Callithrix jacchus: one gene and its partners. The protein of the gene in region 1 interacts with the protein of each later gene in a pairwise test. Links are inferred from orthologs where the notes say so. Each region holds a gene or a part of one and is shown in the gene's direction. Other genes may lie near its edges. The genes, in order: WIPF1, FASTK and HOMER3.

The links.
Region 2: the proteins of WIPF1 (region 1) and FASTK interact in binary tests that used the Homo sapiens proteins (3 or more experiments, as listed by UniProt). The two-hybrid records come from large-scale screens. The link is inferred for Callithrix jacchus from reciprocal best matches to the Homo sapiens genes WIPF1 and FASTK.
Region 3: the proteins of WIPF1 (region 1) and HOMER3 interact in binary tests that used the Homo sapiens proteins (3 or more experiments, as listed by UniProt). The two-hybrid records come from large-scale screens. The link is inferred for Callithrix jacchus from reciprocal best matches to the Homo sapiens genes WIPF1 and HOMER3.

The regions. Positions count from the first base shown.
Region 1 is NC_133507.1:54,780,957-54,786,617, forward strand, and holds the start of WIPF1 (WAS/WASL-interacting protein family member 1), read left to right. Parts: upstream 1-2,498; 5' UTR 2,499-2,641; intron 2,642-5,661. UniProt on the Homo sapiens protein: Plays a role in the reorganization of the actin cytoskeleton. Contributes with NCK1 and GRB2 in the recruitment and activation of WASL.
Region 2 is NC_133512.1:97,130,620-97,136,280, forward strand, and holds the start of FASTK (fas-activated serine/threonine kinase), read left to right. Parts: upstream 1-2,384; 5' UTR 2,385-2,423; coding exon 2,424-2,505; intron 2,506-3,243; coding exon 3,244-3,666; intron 3,667-4,142; coding exon 4,143-4,322; intron 4,323-4,463; coding exon 4,464-4,603; intron 4,604-5,074; coding exon 5,075-5,288; intron 5,289-5,386; coding exon 5,387-5,546; intron 5,547-5,661. Other genes in the region: TMUB1 (transmembrane and ubiquitin-like domain-containing protein 1), read left to right, coding at 624-1,018, 1,293-1,644. UniProt on the Homo sapiens protein: Phosphorylates the splicing regulator TIA1, thereby promoting the inclusion of FAS exon 6, which leads to an mRNA encoding a pro-apoptotic form of the receptor.
Region 3 is NC_133523.1:17,623,046-17,627,936, reverse strand, and holds part of HOMER3 (homer protein homolog 3), read left to right. Parts: intron 1-237; coding exon 238-345; intron 346-1,522; coding exon 1,523-1,644; intron 1,645-2,510; coding exon 2,511-2,667; intron 2,668-3,018; coding exon 3,019-3,135; intron 3,136-3,232; coding exon 3,233-3,319; intron 3,320-4,591; coding exon 4,592-4,783; 3' UTR 4,784-4,891. UniProt on the Homo sapiens protein: Postsynaptic density scaffolding protein. Binds and cross-links cytoplasmic regions of GRM1, GRM5, ITPR1, DNM3, RYR1, RYR2, SHANK1 and SHANK3.

The DNA.
Region 1 (5,661 bases):
TCACTGATAAAATATTATTTAAGTTTTGACCTAATTGAGAGAATTGTTAAGAGTTTGAAGGCAGAGAACTAAGGCCATTTTGGACAACTGATTACTGGCCTTGCGAGTGATTTAAAACAGTGGACAATTCAGAACACAATTATTTTTGGCTTTCAACGATGACATGAAGTGTGAAAAATTTTATCTTCCTAATTTTCTTTAGTGTATTTCAATGCTGAAATTTCTACAGATTCCTGAGACACATGAACTCAAGAGAGTTCTTATCTCAACAAGCATTTAATCACTTCCCTACAAGGTACTGAGCTCTGCTGAACACTGGGGAATCAAAGATAAGATTCCTATTCACTTGTGTGCCAACACTCTGCTCATCTTTAGGGAGATTATCCCATTTAATCCCTACAACAATCCCAGGAGCTGGGAAATATTATTATCCCTATTTTATTGGAGCAAAAAAATGAGGCTTAGAGAACTAGTAAGGGGACCAGGCAGCTCCTGGGCTTAATTTCCTTGCTACACTGTGGTTAGGGCTACTGATCTGTTTTCAAGTCTGGTGTAATATATTTATATATTAAACTGCTTGTCTTCATTTTATATAAAATATAACATATGTGTATTACCATAGAAATGGTTTAAAAAGAAAGGCAAATGGTTAATGTACCTTAAAAAGATGGGTACATTTAGACAAAAATTTGCCAATGGGAAGTTTCCCATGTTACTAAATGTCTTTCCCAGAAGCATCATTGTATCTGTTAAAAACATGTCGAGAGATACGTGTGCACATGGGAGTGGTACAGGAGCAGAGAAAGCCGGGATCCCGTGAAGCCCCCTCAGCATAGTGTAACAATTTTAAAGTGCATCTATTTGTAACTGCCCAATGGGTTCAACTTGCCCGCTGCCTAGACAGAGCCCATTTATCAAGACGGTGAAATTGCAATGGATAAAAACGAATTCATGCAGAGCCAGCTGTGCGGGAGACCAGAGTTTCATTATTACTAAGATCAGTCTCTCTGGGCATTCTGGGATGAGTTTTTAAAGATAATTTGGCAGGTAGGGGCTTGGGAAGTAGGGAGTGCTGATTGGTCAGATTGGAGATGGACTCATGGTGGGGGATCAAAGTGAGTTTTTCTTGCTCTTTTCTGTTCCTAGGTGGGATGGCAGAACTGGTTAAGCCAGATTACCTATCTGGGTGGTATCTGGTAACTGAGTTCAGGGTCTGTAAAATATCTCAACCACTGATCTTAGGTTTTACAACAGTATTGTTATCCCCAGCAGTAATTTGGGGAGGTTCAGACTTTCAGAGCGGGAGAGAGGCTGCATGAACCCTAAACTGTAATTTCTAATCGTATAGCTAATTTGTTAGTCCTGTGAGGCAGACTGGTCCCCAGGTAAGAAGGGAATCTTTCTGGGAAAGGGATATTACCAATTTTGTTTCAGTTAAAACATAAACTGAATTATTTCTCAATGGCTACACCCAGGAGTGAACAAGTACACTTTAAAGGTTAGAAGCAAGATAGAGTAGGTTGTAGGTCTGATTTCTTTCACTGTCACAATTTCCTCAGTTATAATTTTGCAAAGGTGGTTTTATAGTCCCACCCTCCTGCTTTTATTCAAACCGATACACAGCCTTGATATTTTAACAATATGATCCGATTGTTACTATACTGACGAGAACTTTCAAATGCACTCTCCCAGCGGCCGCATCGTCTTAGTGAGTGTTAACTTTTGTTTGGGGCCTGGAGGTGGCAGCTCTCTGAACTGGACAGAGCCTCCTTATGAGCAGGAGTTAGCTCTGGCAATGGAGTAGAGCTTCACGTTTCTCCACGTTTGCTGTGGATCCTACCGTATTTAAGGATGTGGGTGGCTGAGGATAAATCCATCCCCACTGGCGGCAAAACGACTCAATTCCGACCGACTGGTGGGGTGAAGCGGCATCTTTTCGAGGGAAGAGTAGCACGTTGTCCCTACACAGTAGGCAGGAGTCAGATGCATACGGACCTTGGGTCTCCGTGGGGTTCACTCAGATTTTAAATCCATCTTTAAAAATGAATTTGATTTTCAGACATCTGAAAGTTGGACCCGCTGTTTTTGAGAGCAGAGGGGAAAGCGTGGGAAAAGGTGTTCCCTCCGGCTGGGGGAGACTGACGCCAGCAGCCACGAGGAGGTAGAGAGGATTCAAGGGTTGAGGGGAAAGGCCCTGAGCTACTCCCCTTCCAGTTCCCTCTCCTCTGCAAACTCCTGTCCCAGGCGCCCTGGCCTCGGCCCCCTCGCCCCGCAGGGGAGCGGGACGGGGGAAACCACTGACTCCAGCCCCGACAATCACGCCCCGCCGCGCTCCTCTGCCGGCCGAGGCTGCGGGCGCGGAGCCCCATTGCCTGCGGGGCGGGCGGGCGGGCGGGCGGAGGGCAGGGCGCGAGCCGGCGGGGCCTCGCGGCGCGTCCACATGTGGCGGGGCGGCGGGGGGGGGCCGGGGCGCCGAGGGGGAGGGCCCACATCTCGGCGAAGTTCCCGGATGGTCGCAGCCTCCCGGCGCTGAGAGCTTTTCCTGCCCGCCCGGCTCAGCCCTGCGGACCCCGGGAGAAGTTTCCCAGAAAAAATGCCCCGCGCGGCGCGGGGCAGTGGAGTCGTCCGGAGCCGCTGTGCGGTAAGGGACGCGTCGCGTCTGGCGCGACCGGGGTTCCGGGGTCCCGGGGGGGGGACACCGGGTGGGGCTGGGCTCGATGGCGGGGCTCAGAAGCGCCGCTTGGAACGGTGATGCGGGCGGGGCGGCCGGGGACGTCGAGGCCGCGTCCCCTGAGAGCGGTGGGCGCGATTCCGGGCCCGTGGTCCGCGCGTTCTGCTCTGGCCGATGGCCCCGGGAGGAAGGGGCGGTGGACTGCCGGGGTCCCGCGCCTTGGGCTGGGCGCACCGCTGGGCTCCGCGGACCCAGGGCCGCCCGTTGGGGCTCGAGACCCACTATCTCCGTAGTTCCCGAGTAGGGGCTTCGCGGCGATGTCCTGGGGCCGCACCTACACCCCACCTAGGACGGAGGGGGACGTTCGGGCATCCCCTGGGGCCGACTCAAGCTCTGGCACCGCCCGCCTGCCTGGCTGTGGGAACCGTGCCCCTCCCGCGCTCCAGCCCGCCTCCCTCCCGGCGCTCCCGGGCCGCCCGCTTGCTCCAGGTCCGTGTAGACTGGCGCGTTAGGGGTCTGCGTCGGCCTCAGAGGCACGGCCAGTCCCCGTCACGACTTTTCACCACGAGTGGGGATGGTTGAGGGGGGTGCTCCCCCGAACTCTCCAGACAGCTTCACTGCAGTCTCGCGTCCCCTACCTTTTTCCACTACACACACTTTTCTTTTTAAAGAAAGAACTGTTAACGTTGCGAATGTAAGGGAAAGCAGCTGACCCAGTCGCTGTGAGCTTTTGTTAATCGCTAAAAGCTCCAAGTCAGATCACTGGTGGTTGGACTTTGAGGTCTTTGCGATTAACAAAGGGTGTGGCTGTGTGAGGAACTCATCCTGGCGAGGTCTTCTGGTCCTGCTTAAATTGGAATATTCCTTCTTCAGCCACGGGCTCCTGGCCTTACTGAGTTCTCTGGGAAGCCTTTCAAGTTGGCTCAGTGACCAAGTGGACTTGGTCCCTTTCACTGAAAAGCGTGTGTCCGTTCTACCCCCTCTGGACCGCTCCTCACTCCCATTCCCCCATCCCTGGCTGCATGTAGCCTCAGACTCGAGGAGGGTGCAGCCGCAGAGCCCGTGAACATATTCCACGTTGGGTGGGTTTTCTTTTGCCAGCTTCCCAAAGCAATTGCAAAACAATACTGTAGCTTCATTTTGAGTCGTTGGTAGGTTTTTTCGTTATCAAAACTGCTTATTTTTGTAATGGATAAAATAACACCAAGAAATGTTCTACTTTAGTTTGTAAATCACCTTTTTGTAATAACTTCTTGAGATGAGAAACCCCTTGATAGGCTGTCAGCACTCTGCCTCTTAATCCCTTTCCAGTGCACACAACACTGCCTTCTACTGTGACTGTGTGTGTCTACCTGACCCTGTCAGCCCCACAAGGCTGCGTTTCTCCAAGACCTGGAGGTGCTATAGTCTAAACCCCCAGCCACCTGTGAGAGCCTATTACCTGTTGAATAGAAATGTTCAGACTAAACTCTGTAGATGTTATGAAACTAGTTCAGTAATATTATCTTCCTTCCTGGGACCTACCAACCCCTGTCATATCTTTGGCTCCATGAAAACATCACTCTTTTAGGTTGTGTGATGTAGTGCAAAGAGATTTGTAAGCAAGGTAAGATCAAATTCCGGGATATTTAAAGAGAATGAGATTATTTCCAGCTGGGGAAATTCATGCCAGCTGGGGGGATATGTTCATTTTACAAATTGTCTTTAATATATTCACCAACTTTCTGGTGCCCTTAGTCATATCATGCAATTTGAGCCTCATTTACCTCATCCAAGAAATGGGGTTGATAATCTTTGCTCTTCGTCCACTACAGGGTATGAGGATCATGTAGGATAAAGGGGTGTGAAGGAAGCAGCAAAAGCAGCGTGATACAGATACTATCCAAATACCATGCAGTGTGTAGCATAGCACCAAGACACAAAAACTATAATGGGCAGAAGGGTGGGTGGTGAAGAGAGGGTAGTATGCCCTGACCTTGTACATTTACTGTCTCAGGTGCTATGGCCAGACATGAACCCCTTTTAGCAGACAGTATTCATTACTGGGTCTGTGTCATTATCTTTCCTATTTCAAGGTGTTTCTAACTATGGTTGTAATTTTAGGAACATAGGTGGTTTCCACAACACATACTGAGAGAATAAATGAAACAAAAGTGCCTTTTATTTTTTGCTATAACCCCTTCGCTTTCAAGCATCTGACATTTGGCATTTAACTCCCAGGGCTGTGGTCTTCCTGAAGCCTTCCCTCCAATGCAGTCTACTGAATTCTTAATGGTTTCTGCACAGAGGTCTCTCTGCTGCTGTTTCCCAGCAATCCACAATTATACCATGGTTCTTGTAGGCTTGGTAGGCTTATTTATGCCTTGTGGCTAGCAGGGACCCACATAGAATCAGGTCACAGTTGGAATCAAGCCAGATACTCATTGAGCATCTCAGGTCCCTGCTAGAGGTTCTAGCTATACTCTGTGCTAGGTAGGTGGGTAGAAAGGAAGACGTAGCTCAGAAAGAGATGAAGTCTGCACCTGAGTGCTAACTTTCTGGTAGAAATGACACACAGTTTCAAACAGCAGGAATGCAGGCAGAATTTGGTAAATAAGGTGAAAAAGGTACAGACCAAATACAGGGAATTCAGAGGCGTCCAACTGGATGGAGGCAGCCCTTCATTCATTTCTCCACTTAACAAATATTTATTAAGTGTTTACTGTATGCCAGGCATCAAAAGATTAATAAGCACATTCACATCATGTCCCACCATCTCTGCCTCAATTGAGGAACAGTTTAGGTTTCACCTCCCTGTGACAGATGAATACGTCCTCACTCAGCCCTAACTTTTGTTTGCTAGGGCAGACATTTGTCCGTTGTTCCTCACTCTGTAGGTGTTATAGGTATGTAGATCAAGTCAAAATAACTTAAGTCTGTCCCTTGTCTAGTTTTGAGTAATGAAAACTCTAGGTGTACCAAAGCTTCTCTTCCTTTGTATGTTGAATCCG
Region 2 (5,661 bases), on another chromosome or scaffold:
CTGGGTGGGTGGTGACGCTCGGAGGCTCCAGATTGCCCAGGGGCGAGTTTGACGTTTGCTGTGGGAGAAGCCTGGGAAGCAGTCCGGTGCCGCGGGTGGGGTTTGGGTGAACGGTAACGCTGTGGGTGGGGGGATGGGGATACAGAGGCTCTACCCCTACCTCGGAGAAACTTTAGCAACGGAGTAGATGAGCCTGGGGTGAAGTCGGTGAAGGAGTAGACACACTAGAGTGAAGTGGACGGAGAATAGATACGCTTGGGGGTGAAGTTTGGTCGGGGTGACGTTTAGGGGAGGCATTGCTTAGAAGGTCGGGGCCCTTACCTTGAGATAGGGTTTAGGTGAGCTGGGAGCTGGTTGAAGACCTCGAGCTCAGATGACAGAAAGTTAGGACTTGGGATTCGGCGATGGGAAAGGGCACCCGGACGCAAGTTTGGGGCAACTGGGAGGCAGAGCAGCCGGTACCCTGGGGTGGGTGAGGGGACGGGCTGAGGACGGTGGGATCATAGCGGTGGAGTGGGGGCAGGATCCTGTGGAGGTTCTAGGGCCCCTAGCCCGGGGGGCTCGCGCCTCACGGGCTCTTTGTGCCTCTCCAGCTCGGTAGTGCGGCGGGCAAGGCAAGCGCCATGACCCTGATTGAAGGGGTGGGTGATGAGGTGACCGTCCTTTTCTCGGTGCTTGCCTGCCTTCTGGTGCTGGCCCTTGCCTGGGTCTCAACGCACACCGCTGAGGGCGGGGACCCACTGCCCCAGCTGTCAGGGACCCCATCGCCAGCCCAGCCCAGCGCAGCCATGGCAGCTACCGACAGCATGAGAGGGGAGGCCCCAGGGCCAGAGACTCCCAGCCTGAGACACAGAGGTCAAGCTGCACAGCCAGAGCCCAGCACTGGGGTCACAGCAACACCGACACAGCCAGCCCTGGACTCCCCGCAGGAGCCCCTCGTGCTACGGTTGAAATTCCTCAATGATTCAGAGCAGGTGGCCAGGGCCTGGCCCCACGACACCATTGGTTCCTTGAAAAGGTAAGCAGGGCAAGAGGCAGGAGCAATGCTAAAGACAGGGATGGGGGGACTAGTAGCAGAAGGCTCCCAGAGAGGTCTGAGACCCAGCCCTCGTTTATACTGGAGGCGATGAGCGCCCCACATCACAACTACACTTGTTTCCCTGGCAGATGGCCCCTCCCAAGCCAGGACCTGTGCGGTGCGGAGGGCAGGGGGAGGGTGGGAGTGCTGCTCCGGGACCAGGGACTAGGATTGCCTGAGGCCTGCTCTCTTACCCAGGTCCCTCTCTCCTCAGGACCCAGTTTCCCGGCCGGGAACAGCAGGTGCGACTCATCTACCAAGGGCAGCTGCTAGGCGACGACACCCAGACCCTGGGCAGCCTTCACCTCCCTCCCAACTGCGTTCTCCACTGCCACGTGTCCACGAGGGTCGGCCCCCCAAGTCCCCCCTGCCCTCCGGGGTCCGAGCCCGGCCCCTCCGGGCTGGAAATAGGCAGCCTGCTGCTGCCCCTGCTGCTCCTGCTGCTGCTGCTGCTCTGGTACTGCCAGATCCAGTACCGGCCGTTCTTTCCCCTGACCGCCACTCTGGGCCTGGCCGGCTTCACCCTGCTCCTCAGTCTCCTGGCCTTTGCCATGTACCGCCCGTAGTGCCTCCGCGGGCGCTTGGCGGCATCGCTGGCTCCTCTGGACCTTGCTCCCCGCGCCGTGGCGGGAGCTGCTGCCTGCCCAGGCCCGCCTCTCCGGCCTGCCTCTTCCCGCTGCCCTGGAGCCCAGCCCTGCACCGCAGAGGACTCCCGGGGCTGGCAGAGGCCCAGCCCTGCGCTCGCCGTGGCTCGGGGCCGCCTCCCGGGGCTGCTGGCCCTCAGCCAGCACTGGGAGTCGGCTCCTCGGGGTCAGGGACCTGCTGTCGCTGCCTAGGCCCCGGGCAGAGACGGGCCGCCCCCCGGGCCCGTCTTAACGTGCTGCCGGAGGACCCAGCCGCCTCCAGTCCCTGACAGCACCATGGGCTGAGTTGGGGACGCCAGGACCGTGGGAGGCTGGTGAAGGGGAGCGGGGAGGGGCAGAGGAGTTCCTCGGAACCCGTGCAGATTAAAGTAACTGTGAAGTTTTCACTCTTGCAGTGTGTCTGAGTGTGTGCGGAGTGGCGGGCGGGGAGCCCTCGCCGCTTGGGAGAGAAGGGTACAGACTGCTCCGGACGCTCTGGTCCACCGCTATCCCTTCTGGGTGTTCCGCCTGGGATTCGGCGCGGGCCTCCGTGGTCCCGCCCCCGGCGTCGCGCGCGCACTTCCCGGGGGCGGGCTCGCGGCTCCCTGGCTCGCAGTGCCTGCCGGGAGCCACGTCTCCGCTGGCCGAGCGCAGCTCCGGGATTGGTGTCCCGGCCGCGTTCCAGGGGCTGCTGGGAAGATGGCGGACTCGGCGGCCAGCCGATGAGGAGGCCGCGGGGGGAGCCTGGCCCCCGGGCCCCGAGACCGACTGAGGGAGCGACCTGCGCAGGGCCCGGGGAGTCATGTAGGGGTGGCGCCTGCGGGGCGGGCTGCGGGAGGGCTGCGGGAGCTGGTGTTAGCGGCAGCGGCCACGGTCTCCTGGCGTCCCTGGGCCTGGGTGGGTGTGGGGCCCCCGACTTCGACTCCGCGCCATCGCATAGCGGCGCACTCGGGCCCCGGGCGCTCCCTGCGAGGTGGGCGCTGCGTTTTCATTTCACGGGTGAGGAGACTTGGAGAGACGAAGCCACTTGTCCAAGGTCATGCCGCTGGTAAGTGGGAGCGCCCAGCATGGAACCCAGCACCGTCCAGCCGCGGACCCGGCGTTCCACTCTCTTTGCCGCCTCCTCCTACTGCGGGAGAGGGAGGTGGTCGGGAGAGCGCACGCCGGTGTCGCCTGGGCTCCAGACTGGGCGCGACCACTAACCGGGTTAATGACCCCGGGCTTAATCTTTTCGCCGCTCTGGGCCTGCGCTTCTCACCGGTGAAATGAGGTAATGCCAGCCCTGCCTACTCCACCTGGGCGTGTAAGGAGCATCAGAGATGGTGCATGTGGAATTGCTCCGCGCTGAGCGCACTGAGGATTATGATTGCCGTTTCAAAGGAGTGGAAAGAGGCAGAGGGGCGGGGCGGGGAAGAGGCCCAGAGCAGTCACAAAGGGTTGCTGGAACCCAGGTCCCCCGAATGAGGAGTGAGGTAAGCAGTAGGTAGCAGGTCTTTCTCCTCTTGGAGAAAACCTCACCCCCTTTTTTGGGCTGCCCCTCAGGGTCTCCATCACCCAACTCAATGCTTCGAGTCCTGCTCTCTGCTCAGACCTCCCCTACTCGGCTGTCTGGCTTGCTGGTGATCCCTCCAGTACAGCCCTGCTGTCTGGGGCCCAGCAAATGGGGAGACTGGCCTCCTGGAGGAGGCCCCAGTACAGGTCATGTGCAAGGGCTGCAGCGGCTTCTGGAACAGGCGAGGAGCCCTGGGGAGCTGCTGCGCTGGCTGGGCCAGAACCCCACTAAGGTGCGCGCCCACCACTATCCGGTCGCGCTTCGTCGTCTGGGCCAACTCTTGGGGTCTCGGCCACGGCCCCCTCCTGTGGAGCAGGCCACACTACAGGACTTGAGTCAGCTCATCATCCGAAACTGCCCCGCCTTTGACATGCACACCATCCACGTGTGTCTGCACCTTGCAGTCTTACTTGGTGAGGAGGGGCTTGAGGTGGGCGCCTGGGGGGCTGCTGGGTGTTAATGAAGAATAGGGAAAACAGGAGAGGACCATGGACAGAGACCCAGCCTGTCAGGCGTGTGCCGAGGAACGCTTGCTCTTGCTCCCGTTCCGTGTCTGCGGCAGACAAGAGTCGAACGCACTCATTCTAGCCTCGCTAGGGTGCCACCCCAGATTCTTGATAATAGAGTGCCCTAGGAAGCCACTATACTTTGTCACAATTGGCACAAGATGAAAGCCTATTTTGCCATTTTTGTATGTATTCCCCAAAGACTGTTCTGATCCCTCATAGTCACATGATAGCTTACATTTCTCCGTGTTTGCACTTAAACTCTAGCACACCTTCCCACTCAGGAGGTGGAGAGGAGAAACGTGGGGAATTCACCAAGTAACCCCATGATTAGAACAGCTGCACAGCTCTGTTACCAGGCTGCCTTTCACCTCTCCCCTCAGGCTTTCCAGCTGATGGTCCCCTGGTGCGTGCCCTGGAGCAGGAGCGAAGGCTCCGCCTCCCTCCGAAGCCACCTCCCCCTTTGTCGTCTCTTCTCCGAGGTGGGCAAAGGCTGGAAGCTGCTCTGAGCTGCCCCCGTTTTCTGCGGTATCCACGGCAGCATCTGATCAGCAGCCTGGCAGGTGCTGGAGGGGCTTAAAGGCAGATAGGGATGAGGAGGGCTGACAGGAGGCGGAAAGTGGGCTCAGTTAGCTAGGCTGAAGTGGAGTTGAGCCAGCTGGAGGTCCGGCCTGAGGCCCATTGTGACAGGCTGTTCTTCACAGAGACAAGACCAGAGGAATTGACGCCCCATGTGATGGTGCTCCTGGCCCAGCACCTGGCCCGGCACCGGTTACGGGAGCCCCAGCTTCTGGAAGCCATTGCCCGCTTCCTGGTGGTTCAGGAAAACCAGCTCAGCAGCAAGGTGGGCTTGCCTCCCACCTCCTGTGCATCTCTGAGTCATTCTCAGGGTCCTGGTCAGGCCCAGCGCACTGTCCAGCTTGGCTGTCCTCTTCCTGAAGCAGACACACCCTCTCCGTCTCCTGGGACCTGCATCTTTTTCCACACCTTCTCTGTGGCTTGCCCACCTCCCGCCAGCAGCATGTATTCCTGGAACTGTGCAGTTTCCCAAAGCACTCTTAGCACCATCCTAGCTCCACCCATCCCCCTCCTGGAAGTCTTCAGGGCCAGACGCCACAGTGATGTCGCCTCTGCCTGTTTGGTGGTTAGTCACATGCAGCTCATGACTGCTTTGCTGTTGAACTGTGAGGCTGGAGGAACTGTCCTGTCTTCACAGCAATGTTATAAACGTGGCTCAGCCTCCCTGAGGCTTAGCTTGTGAAAGATGACTGCAGAAACACTTCACACTGGGTAATGAACTGCTCTTCCTTCACAGGTGGTACAGAAGTTGGTCCTGCCCTTTGGGCGGCTGAACTACCTGCCTCTGGAACAGCAGTTTATGCCCTGCCTTGAGAGGATCCTGGCTCGGGAAGCAGGGGTGGCACCCCTGGCTACGGTCAACATCTTGATGTCACTGTGCCAACTGCGGTGCCTGCCCTTCAGAGCCCTGCACTTTGTTTTTTCCCCTGGCTTTATCAACTACATCAGTGGTACGCAGCCAGGATGGCTGGCTGGGGCCCCGAGGGCTGGAAAGGCAGGGGAGCAGGGTGGCCTGCAGCCCGGAGCCCCAGTCCCCGCCTCCCCACAGGCACCCCTCATGCTCTGATTGTGCGTCGCTACCTCTCCCTGCTGGACACGGCCGTGGAGCTGGAGCTCCCAGGATACCGGGGTCCTCGCCTTCCCCGAAGGCAGCAAGTGCCCATCTTTCCCCAGCCTCTCATCACCGACCGTGCCCGCTGCAAGTACAGGTGGATGGGACAGCCTGGGGCAAGGGGAGGGGCTGGCCTGAGAGCAGCACAGAGTAGAAAAGCTAGCAGGACCAGGAACTGCCAAAGCTTAGGTGCTCAGCCGCCATAAAGAAAA
Region 3 (4,891 bases), on another chromosome or scaffold:
GGAATTCCTTTCCCTTTCTCAATGTGGCCCAATGTATTAAAATGCCACCTTCGTGATCTGATGCCACCTGCCCACCCACCATGGTACATCATTTTTCAGACCTTCTCTCCTTCTTCCACAGTGTGTGATGAGAGAATGGGTACAGTTCCAAAGTGACAGGGCTGTCGCTGGGTGGCGGTTACCTGGTTTGTGGGGATGGGCTGGGGGTTGACTGTCTGTTCCTCCCCACTCCCCTAGTTTGCCGAGAAGTTTCAGGAAGTGAAGGAAGCAGCCAGGCTGGCCAGGGAGAAATCTCAGGATGGCGGGGAGCTCACCAGTCCAGCCCTGGGGCTCGCCTCCCACCAGGTCAGCACTCCCTGCCCCCCTATGCTTCCTGGGCACCTGTGAGTCAACCAGGCCCAGGATTGGGGGGACCTTGATATTAGGAGACCAGGCACTGTGCTAGTCCTCAAGACCCAATGCTCCCAGATGACCTAAAGTTAGACCCATGGCAGGGGCCATGGAGGAGGGGTGTGGAGCATGTCATGGAGGGTCTGGGCCTTGCCTGGGGTCGGCAGGGGGCACCCAGTAGGTCCCAGTAGCAAAACCAGCTCAGATGGCAGAATGGAAGACTAGAAATTGAAATAGCTAAGTGTGGCCAGGCGCAGTGGCTTATGCCTATAATCCCAGCAATTTTGGAGGCCAAGGTGGGAGGATCGCTTGAGTCCAGGAGTTTGAGACCAGCCTGGCCAACATGGTGAAACCCCATCTCTACTAACAAATACAAAAATTAGCCAGGCGTGTCGGCGTGCACCTGTAATCCCAGCTACTTGGGAGGCTGAGGCAGGAGAATTGCTTGAACCCAGGAAGTGGAGGTTGCAGTCAGCCCAGATCATGCCACTGTACTCCAGCCTGGTGACACAGTGTGACAGAAAGAAATGGCTAAGTGTGAGGCACAGCAATGAACTGGCCCTGTGTGTTTTCCCACATTAATTTATTCAGCATCATTTATTGAGCGCCTGCTGTGTACCAGGCCCAGGGCTGTGCACAGGGGTTGCAGAGATTTAGAAAAACAGGCTGAACTCTACCCTCAGAGCCAGCGGTCCAGGCTTTGGGGTGGCTCATGAAACACAAATTCAGCCTGGGCAGGGCTTCCTGCTGAAATCCTAAACGGGCCACAGGGAACAGAACAGGGAAGGGAACAGCATGGAGCTGTCCGATTGTCCCTCTCCCCTACCTTGGAGGTTCTAAGTATCTTGGTTTAGACTAACCTGCATCAGACTTGCTCCTAGGGGTGGTGAAACCCCAGGAAGGCAAGGCTGAGGGCATGGGCCTGGAACTCTCAGCCTAGGGGCCACAGGGAGCCATGGAGGGTGGGTGAGATGGGGAGGGACACATTCGGATCCGGTGCTGTGAAGGACCTGCTTAGGGTGCATAGGTCAGTTGGACCCCCTGATGTGACGACCCCGGTCACATCAGCCTTGATCCCAGCCACTGACAGAAGCTACTACTCATCGTGACCTGCTCTTTTCCCCGTGCACAGGTGCCCCCGAGTCCCCTCGTCAGTGCCAACGGCCCGGGTGAGGAGAAACTGTTCCGCAGTCAGAGCGCTGACGCCCCCGGCCCCACAGAGCGCGAGCGACTCAAGAAGATGCTGTCCGAGGGGTGAGGGGCGGGGCTTGGGGCGCGGCAGGGGACGGGGTGGGGATGCGGGACTTGGAGGCGGTTCTCGAAAGCCAAGGGAGTGCCAGGGACTGCGGGATCTAACTGTGGACCCAAGACCTGGGAAAGGGGAGGAGCTGATCCCGCTGCTGCTCCATCCAGAGCCGACCCCGCCCACGGCTTTGGCAGGCCGGTCTGTATTGAACCGGTCCCTGTCTCCTGGCTGATAACCTCGCCCCATCCATGCCTCTCGGGCTTAGGATAAACCTGGGGCGCCTCCCCACCCCGACCACGCCCCCCTTGGCTGACTCTCCTCAACCTCCCAACCCTCCTCTGCCATCCCGACAGTGTTACTGGGCGGACCCCATGTGCCCACTTCTTTGACCAGGTCCCTGACAAGACCCCGCCTCTTCGGGACTGCCCCATCCCCAAGCTTCGCACTATTTTGGCTGCGCTCCTAGCCCAGCCCAGTGTCGCCACGTCCCCAGCACACCGTGGCCCTGAGTCCATCCCCTGGCCCTACGCCACCCCACCCTTGGCCCTGCCCCCTACCCAGCATTGTCCTTGACACCACCCCCAGCCCAATCTCGCGCCTGGCCACGCACCAGCCCACACCACCCACCTCTGGCCCCGCCCCCTAGTGGAGCATCGCCACTGACTCCACCCCCAGGTCAGTGCCACCCCACCCTGGCCCTGCGCCCTAGTTCAACCTCACACCCTCTCCAAGCTTCGTCCTCACCCAAGCCCAGAGCCATCCCAACCCCTGGCCCCGATCCCAACCCCTGGCCCGATCCCAACCCCAGCATTGCCCTCTGACTGCCCCCGCTCTAGCCCCATGTCACCCCCTGCCGACCCTTGCGTTTCTGCAGCTCCGTGGGCGAGGTACAGTGGGAGGCCGAGTTCTTCGCGCTGCAGGACAGCAACAACAAGCTGGCAGGCGCCCTGCGGGAGGCCAACGCAGCCGCAGCCCAGTGGAGGCAGCAGCTGGAGGCTCAGCGTGCAGAGGCTGAGCGGCTGCGGCAGCGGGTAAGGGCACCCCCTCCCAAAGAGAGCCCCCCACCTGACCCGGGCAACTGTGGAGCCCACGCCTCTGCCAGTCCCATCTGCCCTGGGTGCATGGACTGGCCGGGTGACCTCAGCAGGTCACTGTCCCAGCCCCAGTTCCTTGCTCTGTAAAATGCGTGTGAGACAATGCCAACTTCAGAGGGTGATCAGACCCTAAAGTCCAAGCTACGTGAGTGGGGGAGGTGCCACCAACCAAGGGAGTTGGGTGCTCGGTCCTGGATGTGGCTGGACAGGAGGCAGAGTCCCTAGAGGTTGGGGGAGCAAGGGAGAGTGCAGGCAGGGGTGGTAGGGGCTGCTATTCCTGTCCCACAGGTGGCTGAGCTGGAGGCCCAGGCAGCTTCAGAGGTGACCCCAGCCAGTGAGAAGGAGGGGCCGGGCCAGGGCCAGTCACTGGAGCAGCTGGAAGCTCTGGTGCAAACCAAGGACCAGGTGAGCGCCAAGTATGGTTCCCGGGCCTCGTCCTCCCTCACCTCCAGAGGGAAAGCCAGGACCCCCAGAACAGACCCTGGGAACTCTTTTCCTCTAGGAGATCCAGACCCTGAAGAGTCAGACTGGGGGGCCCCGAGAAGCCCCAGAGGCTGCCGAGCGCGAGGAGACTCAGCAGAAGGTGCAGGTGTGTGTGGGCGCCAGGAGGTGGGGTGAAGGTGGGTGACCATCACCTCAACAGACAATTGGGACGATCTACCTAAGATGATAAAGTAGTATTGGGAGTCCCAGGCCCGCGCCAGGCCTGATGGCCGGCAGGCGCTGTGTGAACAGTGGGTTCAGCAGGCAATCTCGAGTCCCGGCTGCATTCCCACGCCAGACCCTGTCATTTCCTCCTGTTCTCAGCCGGAAATCACAGAGCCTGCACTGGAACCAGGTGTGGCTTGGCTTTTTTTGTTTTTTCTTCGAGATGGAGTCTCACTCTGTCGCCCAGGCTGGAGTGCAGTGGCGCAATCTTGGCTCACTGCAACCTCCACCTCCCAGGTTCAAGCGATTCTCCTAACTCAGCCTCCTCAGTAGCTGGGATTACAGGTGTGTGCTACCATGCCTGGCTAATTTTTTGTATTTTTAGTAGAGATGGGGTTTTACCATATCGGCCAGGCTAGTCTCAAACTCCTGACCTTGAGCAATCCACCCTCAGCCTCCCAAAGTGCTGGGATTACAGGAGTGAGCTGCCACGCCCAGCCTTGGCTTGGCTTTTGCTACAGGCTTTATCTGAGAAATGTTCAGGGGATACCTTTTTTTTTTTTTAATTTTGAGACAGGGCCTCACTGTGTTACTGGGGCCAGAGTACAGTGGCGCAATCTCAGCTCACTGCAACCTCCACTTCCTGGGCTCAAGCGATTCTCCTGCCTCAGCCTCCTGAGTAGCTGGGACTACAGGTGCCTGCCACCACATACAGCTAATATTTGTATTTTTAGTAGTGATGGGGTTTTACCATGTTGTTCAGGCTGGTCTTGAACTCCCGGCCTCAGGGGAGCCACCTGCGTCTGCCTCCCAAAGTGCTGGGATTATAGGCATGAGTCACTGTGCCCAGCCCAGGGGGCACTTCTTGTGAGCCCAACAAGTTGAGATGTTACAGGACCTGCTTCCCTTACACCTGTATTCCTAGCTACTTGGGAGGCTGGGGTGGGAGGACTGCTTGAACCTAGGAGTTGGAGGCTACAGTGAGCTAGGATTGTGCCACTGCACTCCAGCTTGGGCAACAGAACAAAACCCTGTCTCTTAGAAATGAGGGCAGAAGCCAGATCCCTGGGGGGGTTGGATTTTATTCCCAGTGTGATTGGTGCCCTAGGAGGGCTTTGGGTAAAAGAGGGACATGAAGCCGTCAGACTCTGGACACCTCGGACAGGCACGGTGACTTGTTGGGGCCCCCACCCCGCCCACCCTTTCCTGGCAGGACCTGGAAACCCGCAACACGGAGCTGGAGCACCAGCTGCGGGCAATGGAGCGCAGCCTAGAGGAGGCGCGGGCGGAGCGGGAGCGGGCACGGGCCGAGGTGGGCCGGGCAGCGCAGCTGCTGGACGTCAGGCTGTTCGAGCTGAGTGAGCTTCGTGAGGGCCTGGCCCGCCTGGCTGAGGCTGCACCCTGAGCCAGGGCTGGTTCTCTATGAACGATTCAGGCCGCAGGCGGCGTAGTTGGACCCATTTGTCCTGGCAAGGGACCGGGGGGTCCCAACTCGGTCCCGGGTGGGCCGGGG